Cricetulus griseus: one gene and its partners. The protein of the gene in region 2 interacts with the protein of the main gene of each other region in a pairwise test. Links are inferred from orthologs where the notes say so. Each region holds a gene or a part of one and is shown on either strand. Other genes may lie near its edges. The genes, in order: Efhc1, Eif4enif1 and Eif4e.

Region 1 (6,982 bases), about 77 Mb from region 2:
CATATGCTGAGATTTCCTGACATGGATGGAGAGATTGTGGGTATCTTAGATAGGATTTCTATTGCTGTGAGGAGACACCATGACCATGTAACCTTTATAAAGGAAAACATTTGATTGTGGAGGCTTACAATTCAGAGGTTCAGTACATTATCATCGTGGTGGGATATGGCAGTGTGCAGGCATATATGGTGCTGGCTACTTCTTGATCAGAAGGCAACAGGAAGTGAACTGAGACATTGGGTGGTATCTTGAGCATGTGAGACCTCAAAGTCCACACTTATAGTGACACATTTCCTCCAATAAGACCATATCTACTCCATCAAAGCCACAACTCCTAATAATGCCACTCCCTGTGTCTTAGTTAGGGTTTTTATTGCTGTGAAGAGACACCATGACCACAGCAGCTCTTATAAATGAAACCATTTAATTTGGGTGGCTTGCTTACAGTTTCAGAGGTTCAGTTCATTATCATCATGGCAAAGAGCATGGCGTTGTGCAGGTAGAAATGGTGCTGGAGAAGTAGCTGAGAGTCCTACATCTTGCAGGCAACAAGAAGTCGACTGAGACACTGGGTGGTATTCTGAGCATAGGAAACCTCAAAGTCTGTCCCCACAGTGACACACTTCTGCCAACAAGGTCTTGCCCACTCCAACAAAGCCACATTTCCTAATAGTGCCACCTCCCTATGAGATTATGGGAGCCTATTACATTCAAACTACCACAGTGTGTCTGTAAGAGTTTAAGCTTATCACAATAAGTCAGTTACCAGTGATGCTGGCTACCCAGCAGTAGTGAGGTACAGAGGAGTTTATTGTCATGACTAATTTCCCCAGTCACCATTCTAGTCAGTGTTTCAGGTACAGTGAAATGGCAGGTGCTTTTAAACTTTTCAGTAACTGCAGCAGTGCTAATCAGTTCATGGGGGGAGGTTAATTAAATACTGGGGGTGTTCTAGTGAAGCTAATGTACACAAGAAAAAAATGAGAAAGGATTTTTTAAGGGACAAGATCTAGGTATGATGGCACACACAACCCAGACTGTCCAAAGAGGAGGAGGAAAGGAGGAGGCTGGATATGGTGGTGGATGCCATTAACTCCAGCATTAGGAGGCAGAGTCAGAAACATCTCTGTGAGTCTAGTCTTCATAGGGAATTCTAGGTGGCCAGCAAGGAATATATAATGAAACCCTGCCTCAAAAAGAACAACAGCAACAACAAAAAAGGAAGACGCAGAGGAGAAGGATGAAGACAAGAGGCGACAGACAGGCAAGAACAAGAAACAGTAGTAAGGAGGAATGAAGAGGTACTAAAAATGATTTTTGGGGGGGTAGGTGTAATGTCACCAGTGACGGCTTTAGATGCCACTTACTACATTCTTATCCTGGCCCCTGGAGCTTCATGACAGTTAGTGAAACCCACAGGAAGATTTGCTGTGGTGAGCAGCCATAAAGGCAAAGCTGTTGTGATGGCTATTCTTGGTTGTCACCTTGACTACATCTGTAATTAACTAAAACCCAAGTGGCTGGGTACCCCTGTGAAGGATCTTTCTTAATAAGTCATTTGACGTGGGAAGACTCACTTCTAATCTGGATCTTTGAGGTAGGAAGATCCACCTTCAATCTGGGCTACACCTTCTGCTGGAGCCCTCTATAAAGGACATGGAAGAAGGCAGCTTGCTCTTTGCCTGCTGTTCTCACTCTCGATAGCAAGTCAATTCGTTCACTGGCATTAGCTCCGACTTAAAGGAATTCTGCCATGTACCGAAGACCAGCTGAGACATCCAGCCTCAAGAACTGAACAACTACTGAATTCTTGGACCTTCTGTTGGTAGACAGCCATTGTTAGACTAGCTGGGCCACAGCCTGTAAGTCATTCTAGTAAATCGAGTGTGTGTGGTGTGTGTGTGTGATTCATCCTATCAGTCCTGTTCTTCTAGAGAAGCCTAATACAGCTGCCGTCTGAACTGGTGGCAGCAAGTGACCCATGACGCAGCGTTATGTCTTCTCCCTCGGGCTTACTACTCTATTCTGTCTCTAAATTCATAGGTCAGAAACACATGTTTTGAAGATCAGACTCCTGGGAAATCTTGAAACATAATCCAAGCCCTTGGGCATCTTGGCTTCGTTTTTATTTTTAAGCTCTCAGTGCTGATGGGTTCTTGGTTTCTTTCTTTTCCTGATGATATTTCAGGAATGGGGGTCACTTTTTTTAAAAGAAAAAAAATATATTAAGTTGTCCAGAAAGCGCCATACTCGGCAGTATTTCACTGGTCTTGTTTCTTTCTCGTGACTCGGCCTCTCTTTTTGAAGGTGTTCTCTTCTTCTGTGGTTGTAATTACTGCGTCTGTAGATACAAAGCAGGGACTGAGATGGGCAGATCCTATTCTGCAATCAACAGTTACACAGTACAGCTCTGAGCCTTCAGGAGCCAATGGTGAAATAGCAGAAAGGGGACCAGGAAGCTGGGGAGGGATTGGGGAAGTGCATGGCGGTGGGGGGTGGGGATGTTGTGTTCTAAATCATGCCTGAGCAACAGAAACGCAGTCAGTAATAATCTAACCCACCACCCCGGTCCCAAGAAGTATGAGTTTGAAGCAATTAGCACTTTCACCGGAGAGCAATCATTCACACTGTGTGAACTGGGACAGCAGCTCTTTTCCCAGAGATGGGAAAGAGTTCCTGAGCTCTTGGGAGGACTAACGCAGAGAGAGAAGGCACTTCTCCTCTGTAACTCATCTAAAAGGACGTACTCCAATCCCCAGACCTCACTGCACGAGCCAAAGCCTGAGGACACCAACCTCCTTCAGCCTTTCATAGAAACTGCTTCTGGGTTGCATCCTCTGGGAGCCATCTAGGGGGCTGAGGAGGAAGGGAAGGGGAAGGGAAGGAAGGGGCGGAGCCGCCTCTGACACACCCATTAGCCACATCCAGTGGCCCGGAGCCTCAGGGGTTCTATGCGCACGCGCAGACCTGTCCTCGGTTCCCCCCTCCTCCCGGCTTCCTCCTCCCTCCGTTGGTGTTTGGCGTTACCATGGAGTCTGGAGAGGCCCGCGGATGTTGTTTGTTGCCAGGGTAACCCGAAAGGCAGAAGGCAACGGTGGTGGCGGCTGCACAGCTGCGATGGTGACCAACCCGGTGCCCGGCCTGCCCTTTCTCCCGGGCTCGTCCTTTACGGACACCACGGTGAGGACCAGTCGGAAGGGTTCTCTACTCGGCGCCTCTGCTCTCCTCCATCCCACAGGTTCTACCGCCCTGTCCACACACCACCTGGGTCCTCACTGCTGTCGGGTTCTTACTTTCCTGCCCCACCTACCTGCCTTCTGGCCCCATTACTCCAGGTCATCTCCACGCCTCTCCCCAGATGCATTCTTACTCTACTCAACCCTCTCTGCCTTCATCCCCCCGTACCTCATTGCGTGTGTACAACCCCCCCCCACACACACACACCCAGCAACTTCGTTTAAGACCCCTTCCGAATCCTCAAGATCGCTGCCTTTCAGCCCCCTTTCCCGTGTATATGTATACACGCATCCTTTCCAAGCACTCCTTTCCTGACCGGTCTCCCCGTCCCGCCCTACCCGGAGTCTCTGGGCTTCTGAGTTGAGGGTCACTTTTCTCTCCAGCGTCATTGTACTTTAGAATTGAATCCCTCCCCCAGCTCATCTTGGTTTTCTTGAAGTTTCTTTTTAAAGCGTGCCTACCTTTTCCCCTCTCTGCTTTGTATTTCTCCCATCTCACTTACCTCAACCACATGGACCACTTGGTGTTTTCTCCTTCCATAGTCTGTGTTTTACATTCTTAACGTGTGTGTGTGTGTGTGTGTGTGTGTGTGTGTGTGTGTGTGTGATTCCTTTTCAGGCTGTGCACGTTGGTGGGGAGGTTTGTTTGTTGTATCTTGTGTGCAGACTGGCCTTGAACTTGAAAACCACCTACCTCAGCCTCCTGAAATGCTCAGGCATGCCAACACAAAGGACCCCTCTTCAGATTGTATTTTACCTGCCCTCCCCCGATGTTTTTATTTACTGTCTGGATGAAATTAAATTAAAACAAGTCCAGTGTGGTGGTGCACATCCTTGATCACAGCTTTCAGGGCGCTAAGGCATAAGGATGGCCAATTTAAGCCTAGCCTGGACCACATAGCCAGTGCCTGTCTCCAAACAGCAACAAATCCAAACCAGACAGAACAAGAACAGCATGGAAAGAAAGCATAAACGAGGCTGGGAAGGTGGCTTAGTGGACAAAGCGCTTGCTGCTCACATGAGAGGAGTGGAATTCAGATCTCTAGAACCCATGCAAGATGGGTTTTACCTGACTAGACTGGCCTTTATCTGATGCAGCCTCCCCATGTCAGCTTCCATCTTTCACATGTAAGGTCACATACATGCACCCAGGCATGTGCACACCACACACACACACACACACACACACAGAGAGAGAGAGAGAGAGAGAGAGAGAGAGAGAGAGAGAGAGAGAGAGAAATCAACCACACCACCACCAACAAAATAAAAATGCCTCGGATCAAAGCCCATTTCAGCAGTAGTTTGGTTCTTGGTTTCCTCTTGACATAGTTTAACTATTTATATTCTCATTTATTTTGAGACAGGGTCTCATGTAACCCAGGTTGGCTTCAAATTTACTATATAGCTTGGGGTGATCGAACTTATCCTCTGGGCTCCCGAGTGTTAGGATTACAGTCAGGTCACCAAAGCCAGAGCTTTGTGAGTTACAGGCAAACAGGATACCAACTGAGCTGTACCCACTGTACATCTCTTAAATGCTCCCAGCATTTGTTTTAATTCTAACAGAGTTACAAAAATATTCTGGAGAATCAACATTGAGATTCGGTAGAGTGGTGTATGTAGATGAGCCAATAGTAATTCATATTTGTATAGTTTAATAATTCAGACTCATCAATTTCACACTTCTTAAGGGAAATTATTTAGTCTACTTGTTTTCTAGGGGACATCGATTTCCATTTCAGTGGAAAGTGTGGGGAGAATTTGGATTCTGACTCTCTTCTACTCTTGCATTAAGATATAACATGGTCACGTTTTTAAAGATGCAAGCTCCCTACGTGTGTTTCTCTGTTGTTGTTTGTTTGAGACACAGTCTCTCTCCTTTGTAGCCAGGCTGGCCTGAAGTTCACTATATAACCTAAGCTGCCCTCAAACCCTGGATAATCTCCAGCCACAGTTTCTCAAGTGCTGGAATTAAAAGTGTGAGTCACTGTGCCTGGCCAGCACCACAGATTTGCCATTTCAATGAGCCTTTTAAATTTCATATAATTTAAAACTATTTGACGTTTTCCTATGCTGTACAGAATCAGCTGAAACATTCGGTGTCTGTGAGTGGGGTTACCCACAAGATAGAGTTGAATTAATTTGGGAGATTATAGAGCTGTGGCTAGAATTGCCAGACTTTAAATATTTATATGAAAAGATGAACTGCCTTGGACCAGTAGGTCCATATGAAATATACCGAGTGACTGTCAATTAATTATCCTTACTTGAAACTTGAAAACCTTCTTAACTGCATCTTCATCAATGAAGGAATATTGGAACTCCAAAGAAAAATGTGTCCAGAAGGTGAACCCTAATAAGTAAGAAGCGGGGAGGCCTAAGAATGCCTTGCCTGGGGTGTCCCATGATACAGTTGACTGGTGAGAGAGACATCCACTAACCACAAAGAAAATAAACTGAAGTTATTGATGTTTTATTTCATAATTTTGGGGAGAGGGGTTGCTGTTGAGCATGTGTAGAGATCATAAGATGATGTCTGGGAATTTTCTCCTTCTACCATATGGGTTCCAAGGATCTAATTTAGGTGGCCAGTCGTGGTGATTAGTAACCCTTTCCTGCCAAGATTCCCCCGAGCCCTCCTCCCTACTTCTGAAGGTGCTGGGAATTGAACCTAGGTCTTTGAACATGCTAAGTACACCATCACCAAGCTATACTCTCAGCCTCTAATAATATTGCCTCTGTCTTGAGGGCTTCCAAAGAGGAACTTGGAGCTATGCACATTGCCCAGTACATCTTATTCTATGTCTGTGTGTTAGGCATCTGGTACAGCCTCTGTCACCTGACTTGGACTAGAATACATGACCCTTAAAGAAAGGTCTGTGCTCCATAACTCTTTTAGCAGAAATCCATACTGCTGTTGCTTTGATGGTAAGATAGACCTTGAAAGATGGTAGGCTGGACTCCAAAGAATTGGGAGATAGGCAAGTAAATCTTTTTACTCTTAATAAACATAAAATTTGATTATATTATATATGCATATATGCATAATAAATAAATATACTACATATATACAATTAGAAAATAACCCTTCAAAGAACATAAAACCCACTAAATTAATATAACTTCAATTTCATTCTTCCCCTGTATTTAATGTTTTACATTTCCAATGATAACAAATGTATATTCACGGCAGAGAATGAACATAATCCAGAAGTACAGAATACAGAATGTTCACCAAATCCAGTTTGAATGCTTATAATTGTAGTGTATTTATATAATTTTACATGGTGCCCTTTTTGTTTTAATAAATTGTAAATACTTCACCAGACTTCTGCGTAGTATTTAAAACTATTTTAATTCTTGCATAGTAATCCAATGAGTGAAATTTCCATCATTTCCTTTCTTTTTTATATTTGTCCTTTAGGTTGTTTACAACATGTAAGCATCATATTTACACTCATATATTTGTCACTATTATGATTAGCTTCAAGTCTATCTTTCTTTCCCATAATTTTGGGGCTGTATCTTTAAGAAAAGGGCAGGATTACTGGATGTTTACATATATGCTGGCATTGTGCTTTCCAAAGACTTGTATAAATGTGTCAGTGTCAATAAGAAGGGCTGTTGCTGAAGGGAAAATTACAATTCAGAAAACCAGATCTTCTGAGGCTATTGTTCATGACCACCAAGAGAAGAAGAAGAAATACAAGATCCATGAAAATAAATTGTAGATGAAGTGGTGTGGT
Region 2 (7,052 bases):
CTAAGTGGCCAGGTGTGGTGATGCATGCCTTAATAAAGTCCCAGCATTTGGGAAACGGGACAGGTAGATCTCTGTAGGTAGACAGGTGGATCTCTATGTTTGAGGTCAGCCCTTGTCTACGGAGGGAGTTCCAGGACAGCCAGAGCCAGGGTTATACAGAGAAAGCCTGTCTCAAAAAGAAAAACAAAACAAAACAAAAAAAACCAAAAAACAAACAAGAACAAGAAAAAAAGAAAGAGATAAGCTAAGTGTAAGACTGAAGGTCACACAGGTTAAAGGTAAAGTAGTAATCCAGTCCATGAGTGGTACCTTAACAATCCTTAGTCTCTCTTTTTGTCCCCAAAGCTTGCACTGACAAGAAGAAGGTGCATCACCCCTTTCTGAAGCTGTGGCACTAATTATTAGACTTGTTCCAGTCTAGCTGGACTACTAGGAACTCTCAACCAAACTCTCAGCTTCTTAGGCAGGTTGCCCTTACGCCCAGCATCCTAATATACCACCCTTTCTTGAATAAAGGTTCCTTCTACAAAATTTTTTGTTTGGTTTGGTTTCTGTTTTGAGACAGGTTTCTCTGTGTAGCCCTGGCTGGCCTTGAACTCAGAGACCTGCCTGCTTCTGCCTCCCAAGTGCTTGGATTCAAGGCATGGGCCACCACTGCTTAGCCGTTCTTCAAATTTCTATGTGCAAAGACTAGCTTCTTATCTAGCTAAAGTTCCTATCATGCTGGGCAAGTAGAACACTCATGGGGTCAAAGAACCTGAGTCCCAACTTTTCAAGACGAGTTAAAATGGAAAAGGAAGATAATGACAGTCAAAACTCAGTACTTATGGTCTTGCCAACCAGCTAAGAACTTCCAGGTAGCTATGTATTCTGGACAGCTGACATATTAAGATCAGATAATGATTTTTTCACACCCTAACTCTGCCTTCCTGAAAATAGGCACCCTTATTTTTATGCTAGCTTAAATACACCACTGAAATGCCACCTGTTAGAGGTTTCTACTCAACTCAATTTATGGAAGACATGTAAAATTAGCAAAGATGACTTTTGTATAGGAAATAAATCATCTGATTCCTGACTTCTGCCTAAAATTTTTTGTTTGCTTTGTTTTTTTGTTTTGTTTTGTTTTTTTCATTTTTTGTGACAGGGTTTCTCTGTGGCTTTGGAGGCTGTCCTGGAACTAGCTCTTGTACACCGGCTGGTCTCAAACTCACAGAGATCCGCCTGCCTCTGCCTCCCAAGTGCTGGGACTAAAGGCGTGTGCCACCGCTGCCCAGCTCTGCCTGAAATTTAAATCTGAACTCTTCTCTGGCTTACTTTCCTTGACAGGGTCTCACTACATAGCTCTGGCTGTCCTGTAACTCACTTTGTTTTTTTTTGTTTGTTTGTTTGTTTGTTTTTCAAGACAGGGTTTCTCTGTGGCTTTGGAGGCTGTCCTAGAACTAGCTCTTGTAGACCAGGCTGGTCTCAAACTCACAGAGATCCACCTGCCTCTGCCTCCTGAGTGCTGGGATTAAAGGTGTGCACCACCAATGCCCTGCTTGTAACTCACTTTGAAGATCAGGCTGACCTGGAACTCACAGACAACCACCTGCCTCTGCAAGCTGTGATTAAAGGCATGTACCTCTGTATTGACTGCAAAATGCAGCTTTTGTTCTTGGGAACACAGCAAAACAAATAAGAAATTATGAATATTAATGACTTAAGACCCTGAGCATGATGGCCGGGTGTTGGTGGCACACGCCTTTAGTCCCAGTACTAGGGAGGCTGAGGCAGGAGGATCTCTGTGAGTTCGAGACCAGCCTGGTCTCCAGAGCGAGTGCCAGGATAGGCTCCAAAGTTACAGAGAAACCCTGTCTCGAAAAACAAAAACAAAAACAACAACAAAAAAAGACCCTGAGGATGACAGGCGCACATGATCAACTCATTTATAATATCCCGGTTAACTGTCACAGAGGCTTAAATGTTGGTGTAAAGACACCATGTGACTTTAGCTTGAATTCCTATACTTGGAAGCATAGCAGAGGCCACTCTAAACCTCAGGGAGCAGCTATGTATCTCAGTTACCTGACAAATGCCATTTTTTCAGTCTTCCACATTAGAGACTACTTAAAAAAAGCCAAACAAGAACTAGGAAATTTGGAATCCCATAAGATTGTAAGTATTTCAAAGCCACTTCCCTTCATCTGATACGTTCAGAATTCACCTGTCAACATTTTAGGCAATGAGTTTAAGTTGTGGAGTACTTTTCAATCTGAATCCATAGTTCAAAAGCATTCCGACAAATGTTAATCCCGGCACTAGGGAGGCAGAAGCGTCTGGTCTGTAACTGACTAATAGGAAAACAATCAATTAAGAACTCACATTACACTTAAAAATTCCCACCCAGGCATACTAAATCCATTCATTCATTCATTCATTCATTCTCTCGTTAACGCTGAAAATTACTACCTGACACTTTACCAATTAGGGAAGTGTAAAGGCAGTTCACAAATAAGCCCAGCTTTACTGAGTATCCTAGGAGGCCAGGGACAATAAACCACAATCATGCTGAGGTTCATGATGGTGATCACAGTAAGGAAATATGGACATGGGCTCAACTACAGCATAATCCCTCTCACTGGCCATTTCAAGGCTTTCCACTTCAGGAACATTTTACTCTAGCCCAGAGTATTTCAGAATGCCAGAAACAAACAAAATAGTTCACTGGAACTTATTAATCTATTCAGTAACACTCAGCAGCCATTATGACACAGATGCAATATCTTCACTAAGTACAAAACTTGGATGTAGTTCCTGAGCTAGGGATGACAGCAAGACGACCAGTTTCAAACTACATGTAGTAGTGCGCACCTCTAACTTCACAATCAAGAGTCTGAATTGAGTACCATAGGTAAGCCATGTCTCCAAAAACAAAAATAGGAAGCTTAAAATCACTATGTATTCTTAAGCAATGAAATAGTTGTGAGTTCATATCCCATCTGTAACAACAACGACAACAAAAGCTACAGTTTAAACCCAGTAGTCACACTTCCAGAAAAATGACCAAACTGATACTTTACTAAATTTATTTAGTCTCTAGTGAATCATAGCCAAGAGTGCCACTTTAAATAACTCCAGTGAGATAGCTACACATTACTACTTCACTAATAACAAAACTTACTTTTGTATAGCGGTGAGGGGATTTGGAGGTGGGCAGTTTCTTTAGCTCAAGGAAAGCATCTCCATTTTCTATTTCATCCACACCTCTCTTCTCCATGGCTTCTTGGTGTACAATTTTTTTGTACCTGGGGAGATAAATGTCAGCACAAAACTGTCAAAGGAAACAATAAATATTCAGAAGCCTTAGCTGCGTATGAGACTGAAACTTTGAGGGGTAAAAGTCTAAACAGTTGTGTAAAGAAATCCACCCAAAAATTATGGTAGGAACCAGAACTAAATTGGAAAGAGAACCTCCACAGAGAAAGGAAAGCAGAAGTGTAAGGGGCTCAACTCAGGATACAACCTTTAATTATCTTTAATACAAAGAGAAACCAAAATAGTCGCTGCCACCCACGAGAACCAACCAGGCTGTGCTGGTGAAGTTTCCCGGTGTAAAGTAAGAACAGGACTGATTGGGCTGTCGATCCGGGAAGTCAGGCTGCTGGAAGTGCCTGTCACTTGTCAATGGATGGCACCAGCTGCCCCTTATTAACCCCAGCGTAAGGAGCTAGGGGAACCGGCCCGAGCGCACCTCTCTCAGCCGGCCACACCTGTGGCCATGTGAGGGACGTCCGCGGCGAAGGAAGGGCCGGTGCCGGCCTCCTGTGGGAGACTCTGTTCCTTAATAAACCAACCCCCGGGCCCTCACGCAGGCCCCCGGGCAGAGGCCTCCTCGGGAAGAAGGGCGGGGATGATACTCACGAAGGGAGGCGGGCCGGAGGGAGCAGGGACCAAGTCCACAGGCCGGCCACCTACAGCCGGCGCAGGCCCGCCTGCTGGCTCGCCGGCCGCCCGCGCGCCTCGCGCCTCTGCCGCCCCCTGCGCGCGCCCTGCCGCCCGCGCTCCCGGGGCAGCGCGCCGTCCTCGCCCGCAGGCCGGGGCCCCGCTCTTGCCGTACCCTTGTGCTGAGCGCCCGCCGTCGGGCGGCCACACGCTTTGGCCGCAGCGTCCCACCGCGCCCGCTCCAGGCCCGGCGCCGCTGCCTGCGGCCTGTGCTTGCGCCCCCCCCACCCTCTCGGGCTGGCTCTCCTCAGCCGCCGTAACCGCGGCCCGGCCCTCCGGCGCAGCTCTCCGCCCCCTCCCCCTAATAACCCCCGTCGCGCACCGCGGGCCCAGGCGCCGCCCTCTCAGCCCGCAGGACCTGAGGTGTCCGCGGCGGTGCCTGTCGGAAAAGCCGCACTGGGCGGTGCGCTCCGCCGCGCTGAGCTCTGCGTGGGCCGGACGGCGAGGGCATAATAGCCAGACAGGCACGGTGGCTGCGGGGAAGTAGTCTCAACGGGAGTTGCGGGAGCCGGTGCCCGAGCGCTCAGGCGGCCGCTTTGGGCAACTCAAGGAAGGGCGCCGCGTTCCCACGCGTCGGGAAGGGAGGAGCCAGAAGCGCGCTGCCCCAGACCCGCGCCACGCCGGCGTGAGCCGGGTGGCTTGGGTGGATGTTCGTCGTCCCGTCGCTAGCGGTCACCAGACTGGGCCTCACCTGGGGCTGGGACAGCAGGAGTCAGTTAAAAGAACATAGCACTGCTCTGCTTGTGTTTATTATTGCAGTGTTCAAGGGTAAAGCTCTGAGCGCTCTGATTTTTTTGCTCCCCCCCCCAAAAAAAAACTGTCCCCAAAGTTACTATGCAGAGGATTAGCCACAAGGGCTGGTATATTAATAAGCAAGTTTGTCACAGTTACATTTGATCCTACGTAAAGGAAATTGAGTTAATTGAAGTATCTTCCAGTGAATAATCGGAATCTTGAGTTACCCTGCACGGGCAGGGAAGAGTTAAGTATCTGGGGGAAATTTAGATGGCCGGCTTCGGGCTCGTAGCCTTTACCCGAGTGCCGAAACTCAAGATGGCAGAGGATACAGATACGCATATAAGTAAATAATCCAAGAACTGCGGCCCTGGGCTGGTCAATTGTGAGCCTGGTATGCAGGAGAATGCTAAACGGATTCTGCTCTGTGGGACTGCCCATGGTTGAGGTTTCTTTAGCGTGGCGGGGGACTTAGTTTTGTTTGTTTGTTGATATCGTTTCTGTTTTAGTTCTTTTTCCTCTAAAGAACAGCGAGGCTGAGCATTTTGGCCTATGCATGTAATCTTTGTTTTGCGGAGCTTGGGGCCGGGAGTTCAAAGCCAGCGTGGGCAACATGGCATTTGAACATCATTTTTTTTTTACTTGGGAAACTACTTTGCTTTCTTTCTGTGAGCCATGACAACAAAAGTAATTTTCCCCCTTTGTAAGGATTAATAGAATTTTTGTTCCAAACTATCTTTTGGGGCAGGGTTTTGCTATGTAACCCTAGCTGGCCTCCCAAGGCCAGGAACTGAACTTTGGGTCCTCTAGAAGAACAAGTGTGTGCGACAAGAGACAGAGGAATATTTGCACTGAAATAATAGGCTGTATAGAATTAGAAATGTATTCCTCTTTAGTTTGGTTTGCCAGACGGTAATAGCAAGTAGTAAAGGTTAAATTTGGCAGTGGCTGGACAGTGGTGGTGCACACCTTTAGTCCCAGCACTCAGGAGGCAGAGGCAGGCGGATCTCTGTGAGTTCGAGACCAGTCTGGTGCACAAGAGCTAGTTCCAGGACAGCCTCTAAAGCCACAGAGAAACCCTGTCTCGAAAAAACGAAAAGAAAAAAAAAAAAAAATGCCAGTAGTGGGGGAAAGCCTTAGGTAATCTGCATAAAGATTCTTTGGGAAAATTTTTCTAGATAGGGTTTCTCTTTGTAACAGCCCTGACTGTCCTGGAACTCTGTAGACCAGGCTGGCCTCAAATTTAACAAAGATCTGCCTGCTTATCCCAAGTGGTGGTATTAAAGGTGTCCTGCCACCATCCCCAGCTGGGAAAAAAAAAAATAAAGCCACAAAGACACATTGTAGCGAATCAACAATAGTTGCTTTTCTTTCTTTTTCCCCCTGAAACAGGGTTTCTTTTTCAATGACTTTTTTAAATTTAAATTTATTTATTTATACAGTGTTCTGTCTGCATGTATCCCTGCAGACCAGAAGAGGTTACCAGTCCTGATTACAGATGGTTGTGAGCCACCATGTGGTTGCTGGGAATTGAACTCAGGACCTCTGGGAGAACATCCAGTGCTCTTATTCACTGAGCCATCTCTCCAGCCCGAGACAGGGTTTCTATGTGTAGCCCTGGCTGTCCTGGAACTTGTTCTGTAGGCTGGTCTTGAACTCACAGAGATACCCCTGCTTCTGCCTCCCATGTGCTTGGATTAAAGGGAGGCACCACTACTGCTCAGCTGGGATCTACATTCTTAAAGCTGAGAGAAATAGGAGTAATCCTCTTGTTATGGAGTACAGAAGGCACCCACTCCCAGGTGTTGACTTAGAGACCCAGATCTCAGGCATGCTTGGTGCCAAGACTTTACCTGAGTTATTCAGTTTTCAGAATCCTAGTCAATGCTAGGAAAGTACTTTTGTTTTGTTTTGTTTTTGTTTTTTGAGACAGGGCTTCTCTGTGGCTTTGGAGGCTGTCCTGGAACTAGCCTTTGTACACCAGGCTGGTCTCAAACTCACAGAGATCCGCCTGCCTCTGCCTCCTGAGTGCTGGGATTAAAGGCATGTGCCACCACCACCCAGCGGAAAGTACTCTTAAAAACTGAGCAACATTCCTAGCCCAATAAATTATTTTCCCAAAGTTACCAAGTGACACTTTCATTTAGTGAAATCTGAGTGTATTTCACCATCCTAAACATTGGTTTCACCTGTTAGAAAGCAATCAAAGTTCCTACTTCTCTGTTTTGTAGAAGTAATTAGATGTGACATTAAAATGAGTTGGGACTAGGGCTGGACATGGTGGCACAAGACTGTAATTGCAACATTCAGGAAACAGATATATCTATGAGCTG
Region 3 (7,280 bases), on a different chromosome or scaffold from region 2:
AAAAGTAATATTTATACTGAATCTGGGGGAATAGGCAACAGTTCTTTTTTACAACAGTAAAAGCAAAGCCAGGCACAGTGGTGCACACCTTTAATCTCAGCACTGAAGAGGCAAAAGCATGTGGATCTCTGAGTTCTGGGCCAGTCAGAGATACAGTGAAACCTTGTCTCAAAAAGGTGGTGTGTGTGTGTGTGTGTGTGTGTGTGTGTGTGTGTGTGTGTGTGTGTGTGTGTGTGTGTGTGTGTGTGTGTGTGTGTGTGTGTGTGTGTTGTCTTAGTGGTTAAGAGTACTTGTTGCTCTTGTAGAGGATCCAGGTTCAATTTTCAGCACCCACATGGTGCTTCACAACCACCTGTAACTCCAATTCCAGACAATCCTGTTATGAGGACCACAAAGATAGATATATTTGCATATATATTAAAGGATGTTATGGGGAAAAGGACTCATGGGTACTGGACAAGGTATAACCAGTTGCAAAATCTCTCTGCTCTGCGCAAGGAAGCTGGGAACCGGCCACATGCTGCCTCAAGCCACCTGACCCAGTATTCACGACCCAAGAGAATATGAGACCTCTGCCTCTCTCATGTCTGAAGACAAGAAGCCATTCCCTAAGGCTGGTACCCCAAAGGTACTGGCAGAATAAATTCCCATAGCAGAACCCAACACCCACAGGCACCCACATACACATGACATACAGACACATATGTAAGTAATAAAATAAAAAAATGATAGCAAAAGACAGGACTTAGCCAATTACAGTCAATGTATTTAATGTTTCACATTAATTCAATTTTTATTTTATTTATTTACTTTTGTTTGAGATAGGGTCTCTCAGTTTAGCCCTGGCTGCCCTAGAACTCACTCTGCAGACCACGCTGACCTTGAACTCACAGAGATCCGCCGGCCTCTCTCCTCTGCCTCCCAAGTCCTGAGATTAAAAAGCACACTCCACCATTGCCCAGCAATATTTTTTTAAATTCACTGAAACTTTCCACTAGCAAAATATCCTAAGTGGCAAAAAAGAAGTCAGGAGAAGGGAAGTGATCACTTGATGTCTTTTGAAATCTACCTACAAAGTTCTAGACCAAGTACTAAAACAAATGACTATTACACAATGAGCTTTCTGTATTTGTGGGTTTGTTATCAACAAACTCAACAAAAGATATTCAAGGTAAGAAGCAGCTCCTATTCTAAAAATGACACAATTTTTTCATTCCCTAAACAACCCAGTATGGATCTTGTTGTGGTATTTGTGTTCTGCTAGATACATTATCCCAAGTTCATAGCAGGGTGTATTAAGTACCATGCAAATACACCACTGCCTATGAGGCATAAGCTATCTGCAAGCTATTAAAAGTCTATGCTTTAATTCAACATGGTCACGTGTGTAAGCATCGTCTTAAAGTCTGTCTGCACAAATCTTAGAGCTGAAACAAAGCCCTAGAAAGCTTATCAACACTAAGCTCCCTTTCTCAAGTTACCCTCCATGCCCAGCAGATAGCAGTGTGATGCTTACAAGCACAGCCAGAACTCGGCTGCCTTAAAGGTTTCCTCATCTGTGAATTAAGAATAACTCCACTCATCTAACAGAACTGCTGCAAGCAATAAATGAATATATATAAAATACTTACTCTGAGGCCCAACACACTAAGTTAGCAATTAATAAAGATCTGCCTCTATTAAAAATAGTCGCTACAAAAGCAAACAGTTGTTACAAACAGGCGGTGACTGAAAGGTCATTTTTTAAAAAATTACTTGCTTAGAACACTAAATCCACATTCCTGGAAATACTAGTCAGGCTTGTAGTCCACCTAAGCCTCCCATCAATTTCCATGGAATAATGTATTTTTAAAATTACAATATACAAAGAGGAACACACATTCAGAGACAACTACTTGTTTCTGACTGTAAGACAAAAAAAAATGACCTTTTTTTTTTTTTTTAGATGAAAAGCAATCCTTTCTTCTCTAGATGTGACTAGACTCTGGTAAAAACAGGAAAGTCGACAATACCTGAGCTGTGATCATAGATTTCACATTGCTTGCTAATAATGGCCAAGGACTGACAAGAATTTTCCAGCACAAGATGTGCGCATGCAGAGAGGTGCCGAACCTTGATTGAGTACAAACATTAGATCCACACAAGTGACACATATCATCTCCAATACTCCATTTAAAAATCAGGGTAAAATTAAGCTATTTGATTCCCATTTTTACCCGGACTAAGAAATTTCAATGTTCCCCACTCCCAGGAAAATTTAAACAAGACTGTATAAGCCATGCTTAATCCCACTCCTCAGTCATCTCCCTGAGAAAGACCGCACAACTCATAATGTAACAGAATCGAGTCTCCAGTGTGGCAGGGAAGGAAAAGGAGCAATGACTATTGACACGATAACTATTGCACATGTCTCCTATTATAAGAGGGCTGCTGGTACTTCTACTGACCTTTATAGTTTTAGCCTTCTAGAACAGTGGTTTTTCAACCTTCCAATGCTGTGACCCACCAATACAGTTCAAGCTGTGGTGACCCCCAGCCATGAAGTTATTGTTGTTTCTACTTCATAACTGTTATTCTACTACTCTAGGAATTACAACATAAATATGTTTCTGGTGGTCTTAGGCAACCCCTGTGAAAGGGTTTTCACCCCCCAGTTGTGAGCCACAGTCTTAGAAATTAAGTGTGTCATGAAAGTGCTATTGCTCAGGACTTTCTGTTCAATCTGGATTAAGCCAATCTGAAAAATTTTAATTGATTCTATGTAACTATGATGCATAAAGTGTATATCCACATTTCGTTTTTCTAAGTCAAACAATCACACAGATTCAGAGTATAAAGTGAAGTGAAATGTGAAATAACTAAACAAAGTTACTAATAAAATGAGTTCCTGCTGGAGAAATGGTTCAGTGGTTAAGAGCACTGGCTGCTATTCCAGAGGAAACGGTTCAATTTCCCACACGGCAACTCACAACTGTCTGTAATTCCAGGTCCAGGGGACCTGACACCCTTACACAGGCAAAACACCAATCAATGCACATTAAATGAATAAAATGAAATGAAGCATGGATTTAACTTTTAGGGCTAGAGAGACAGCTCAGTGGTTAAAAACACTGGATGTTCTTCCAGAGGACCTGAGTTCAATTCCCAACACCCATATGGCAGCTCACAACTGTCTAACTCCTGTTCCAGGGATCTGATACCCTCCCACACAGACATACATACAGGCAAAATACCAATGCACACAAAATATAAATAAATAAATTACAAAAAATGAGTTCTCAATTAAAAAAAAAAATTGTCAATCTGCTTACCAATAAACAGCTTTTCGGTTGATACATTTTATAACTTTTAGTGCTTTTCCTTGTTTTTTTTTTAAGCTTTTCACACATATATTTACTTATTTATTTCTCTATGTGTGTGCACTTGCCTTGGTGTGGACTTGGAGATCAGAGGACAATTTGCAAGAGGTCCTGTTTGCAACCTGAGGGTTCTAGTCTCCAACTCAGACCCTCAAGTTTGGCAGCAAACACCCTTGCCCCTAAGCTATCTATCTCAGTGGACCTTTTCTCTTAGACTTTATTTTGCTTTAAGACAAGGTATGACATGTAGGCCAGGCTGTGCTCCAATTCACAGTTCTCTTGCCTCCACTTCTGAGTGAGTCCTCAGGTTACAGGCATGCACCACCACAGCTGGCTTCTCCATGTTTGCCAGTCTTATTTTAAAAGCAAGGCTAAGTATAAAGAGAGGAAATATCTGGACTAGGTGTGATGTTGTGCACCTGTATATATCCCAATGCTAAAAAGGCAGAACTCCCAGCTTTGATCTATGGAGTTCCAAGACAGACAGACAGACAGACAGACAGACAGACAGACAGACACAAGTTCCAGACCTACACACAGACACACAAAAAAACACATTTTTTAAATAACAGGAAAAACAGCAGAAGAAAAGTAAGCTATCTAAAAGGAAGAACCCATAGAATACCATCAAGGACATGGTCTACCATTTTCACTAAGTCTAATTTTGACTTTCCTCAATTCCAAACTAAGAGGAGCAACCATTTTCCACAGGTTCTGTAAAGCAATATATTTCCCCTTTGAACGTCTCAATCTCTATCTGTAAGCCATTACTTGCATAACTAACCTCAAACACTGATTGAAAATGACTGATCATTCGAGGGGCGTTGGTGACGAACACCTTTAATCCCAGCACTCGGAAGGCAGAGGCAGGTGGATCTCTGTGAGTTCGAGGCCAGCCTGGTCTCCAGAGTGATTGCCAGGATAGGAACCAAAGCTACACAGAGAAACCCTGTCTAGAAAAACAAACAAAAAAGAAAATGATCATTTATGGATTTTCCATAGATTACTGGAAATACTGACAAATACTTATAAAAGGTTGGATATGTAAGGAGAGAAGTATCACCTACTCATGACTAAGTAAGTTGCTCTCAACTTTCCTAATCCTGCAACCCTTTAATACAGTTCCTCATGCTGTGGTGACCCCAACCATAACATTACTTTTGATGCTACTTCATAATTGTGATTTTGCTTTTATGAGTAGAAATGTAAATACCTGTGTTTTCAGATGTTCTTAGCTGACCCCTGTTGAAAGGGTTGTTAATCCCCCAAAAGGGGTCAGGACTACAAGCTGAGAACCACACTGCTCCAGGTGCTTACAATTCAACACACTACAAAAAAAAAAAAAACTAAAGAAACACACACAGCAATAACCAAGTAAGACTTTTACAAGCTTTAACACAGTTCCTCAACTGCAGTCCAATAGTAAAATATAACAGCTGCTTTAAAAAAAATAAAAAGATCTGAAACTGAAGAAGCACCAGCGTAGTTTAGTAGCAGAATGAACTTAGTGTACACCAGGCTCTGAGCTGAAAATCAAGCACCAAAACCAAATCTGTTGTTGTTGTTTATTTGCTTTGTTTTTCAGGAGAGGGTTTCTCTGTGTAGCCCTGGCTGTCCTGGAACTCAAAATCCACCTGCCTCTGCTTCCAAAGTGCTGGGATTAAAGGCATGCACCACCAAGGCTGGGCTCCAAAAGCAAATCTCAAAAATATTAAAAATACCATGAGTAGTCTAAAGGCAGGGGTGTTACAAAAAGAAAAACAAGTACCTCAATGCCACTCTGCACACTATCTCCAACTAGCTTCAATGCAACTTTCACAACAGAGTTATCACTAGGAATATTTCAACTCTGACCCAAACCAGGCTCCTAAGGAACAAGTACAGACCACATTTTGTACAACTCTGTATTCTAAACCTCACTTGGTACCCCACCTTAAACATATCAACAACTCAGAACTGACTTAGAACAAACTCTAAAGACACTAAGTTGTGGTTTTAACACAATCCAAGACTTGAATGTAACTGAAATATCATAGAACATATTACTGTTTTATTGCTTAGGGTCTTTTTCAGTTTTGCCTCTATTACTGCCCATACTATTTTCCCCTAATACTGGTAGAGAAAAGTATAAGACTCAGAAGTAGATACCAGAACTTGTCAAGAGAGTTTACGTTAAATTTAAATGCTTCCCTCTTGTTCTTACATAATACTGATATTCTAAAGTCAGTTAACTTCACTAACAACTTATGAGGCAGTTTTGCAGACAACCAAATTGCCAGGAAAACTGATGCCAATAAAGAACAAGTAAATCACGCCAAAAAGAAAAAAAAAGTTGCCTTGAATTCTGCCAAGATAAGTTTGTTTTGCAAACTAATCAAAATTCTTCAGTCCATAGGTGAGTTTTTAAAATTTTAAAAATATCTGGCCAAGGTAGTCTACAAGCGTTCCTGTGTCAAAGGTTTCTTCTGGTTGCTAGTCTACACCTTTAACCACCTGAGATCTTAATCACACAGGTGTGACATTTCTTAAAAAAATAATCTGGGATGCATGGCCAGTGACCCAGCTGTTGGTAAACCCAAAGCATGACCAAAAAAAAAAAAAAAAACATAAAAAACCACTCTTCTGCCTTCGGGGTAGCTACCAACACGTTGCTCGGTGAGCATCTTGCTTCAATCAATTTCGGAATAGTGCTTTAATGAAGAGGAAAGCAGTGTAGGGTGGGAAGGAGGGAAAAAAAAAAAAAAATCAAACGTTAAAGCAGTACTGAGAGGCCGGACTCCAAACGCTGTCCTCCGACTTCCACATGCGAGCCAGACACGCGCTGCTGCCCTCGTGCTTGTTTTTTGTTTTGTTTTAATTTAAGGAAAGACAATCTCGAAAGTTTCTATTTCCAATATTAGTGTGTTCGTTGGGGATCTTCCAGACGGTCACGTCGCCTCAGAGCAGAAGAATCTACAGAGTCGTAGGGTCGGAGGCGTGCGCGCTGCGCCCAGAGAGATGAATGAATGGAAGCCCGGCCCGGCGCGTGTGAATCGCAGGTCTCCGGCCGGGTGGCCGACCCGCGGCGGCGGCGGCGGCGGCGATCTGCAGGCCTCGCTCCTCCCCCTCCTCTCCTCCATGACAGCCCAGTCCCGGTGTGGAGGGGCCGGGACAATGTGGTCACCTCGGCCGGCCCCCTCCCCCGGCCCCGAGAGGTGCGCGGCGCGGCCCCAGGGCGTCCTCCCCACTGCACCCCGCAGCTCGGCGGCTCTCCCTCCGCCGCGCCCGCCCCTCTCTCGCTCCCGCCCGCCCGGCTCCGCGCGCCCACCGGCTCCGCCAACCCACCCCTCCTCCTCCCTCCTCCTCCTCCCCGCGGCTCGTGCGAGCGCGGCCCGCACGAGGATCCCGGCGGCGGGGGAGGCGCAGCTGCCCCAGGCTCCCTCGGGCTGCTCCGGGCCGGTTCACCGCCCGCCCGCCCACCCCTCCGAGCACCGTGCCCGCTCCGAGCCCGCCCCGCGGCCCCGGACCCGCGCCGCCCGCCCGCCCGCCCGAGCCGCCCGCCCGCCCCCCGAGCCGCCCTCCGCCGGCCGCAGCTCGGGCCGCGCGGCGCCCCTCCCCCACCGCCCCGGTGCCCGGGCCCCCCGCACGGCGTGTGCGCTCCACGCTGCCGCCGCCAGCCTCCCGGCGCCCGGGCTGCCCGCGGAAGGTCAGGCCGGGGGGACGGGGGCCGGGCACGGCCGGCGGCGGCGTGCGCGCCGGGAACGCCGCCCCGCGGGGAGTCCCTGAGCGGAGGGAGCCGGAGCGCGGGGACCTCGGGGGTGGGGGCCGAAGGCAATACTCACCGGTTCCACAGTCGCCATCTTAGATCGATCTGATCGCACAACCGCTCCTGAAGGGGGGGCGAGAGGAAAAAAATGAGATTCAAACCGGATTGGCCGGCTC

The links.
Region 1: the proteins of Eif4enif1 (region 2) and Efhc1 interact in binary tests that used the Homo sapiens proteins (3 or more experiments, as listed by UniProt). The two-hybrid records come from large-scale screens. The link is inferred for Cricetulus griseus from reciprocal best matches to the Homo sapiens genes EIF4ENIF1 and EFHC1.
Region 3: the proteins of Eif4enif1 (region 2) and Eif4e interact in binary tests that used the Homo sapiens proteins (3 or more experiments, as listed by UniProt). The link is inferred for Cricetulus griseus from reciprocal best matches to the Homo sapiens genes EIF4ENIF1 and EIF4E.

The regions. Positions count from the first base shown.
Region 1 is NW_023276807.1:25,023,574-25,030,555, reverse strand, and holds the start of Efhc1 (EF-hand domain-containing protein 1), read left to right. Parts: upstream 1-3,034; 5' UTR 3,035-3,051; coding exon 3,052-3,180; intron 3,181-6,982. UniProt on the Homo sapiens protein: Microtubule inner protein (MIP) part of the dynein-decorated doublet microtubules (DMTs) in cilia axoneme, which is required for motile cilia beating.
Region 2 is NW_023276807.1:101,715,245-101,722,296, forward strand, and holds the start of Eif4enif1 (eukaryotic translation initiation factor 4E transporter), read right to left. Parts: upstream 4,225-7,052; 5' UTR 4,100-4,224; intron 4,054-4,099; exon of another isoform or gene 3,904-4,053; intron 3,288-3,903; 5' UTR 3,260-3,287; coding exon 3,164-3,259; intron 1-3,163. UniProt on the Homo sapiens protein: EIF4E-binding protein that regulates translation and stability of mRNAs in processing bodies (P-bodies). Plays a key role in P-bodies to coordinate the storage of translationally inactive mRNAs in the cytoplasm and prevent their degradation.
Region 3 is NW_023276806.1:21,044,754-21,052,033, forward strand, and holds the start of Eif4e (eukaryotic translation initiation factor 4E), read right to left. Parts: upstream 4,189-7,280; 5' UTR 4,174-4,188; coding exon 4,144-4,173; intron 1-4,143. UniProt on the Homo sapiens protein: Acts in the cytoplasm to initiate and regulate protein synthesis and is required in the nucleus for export of a subset of mRNAs from the nucleus to the cytoplasm which promotes processes such as RNA capping, processing and splicing.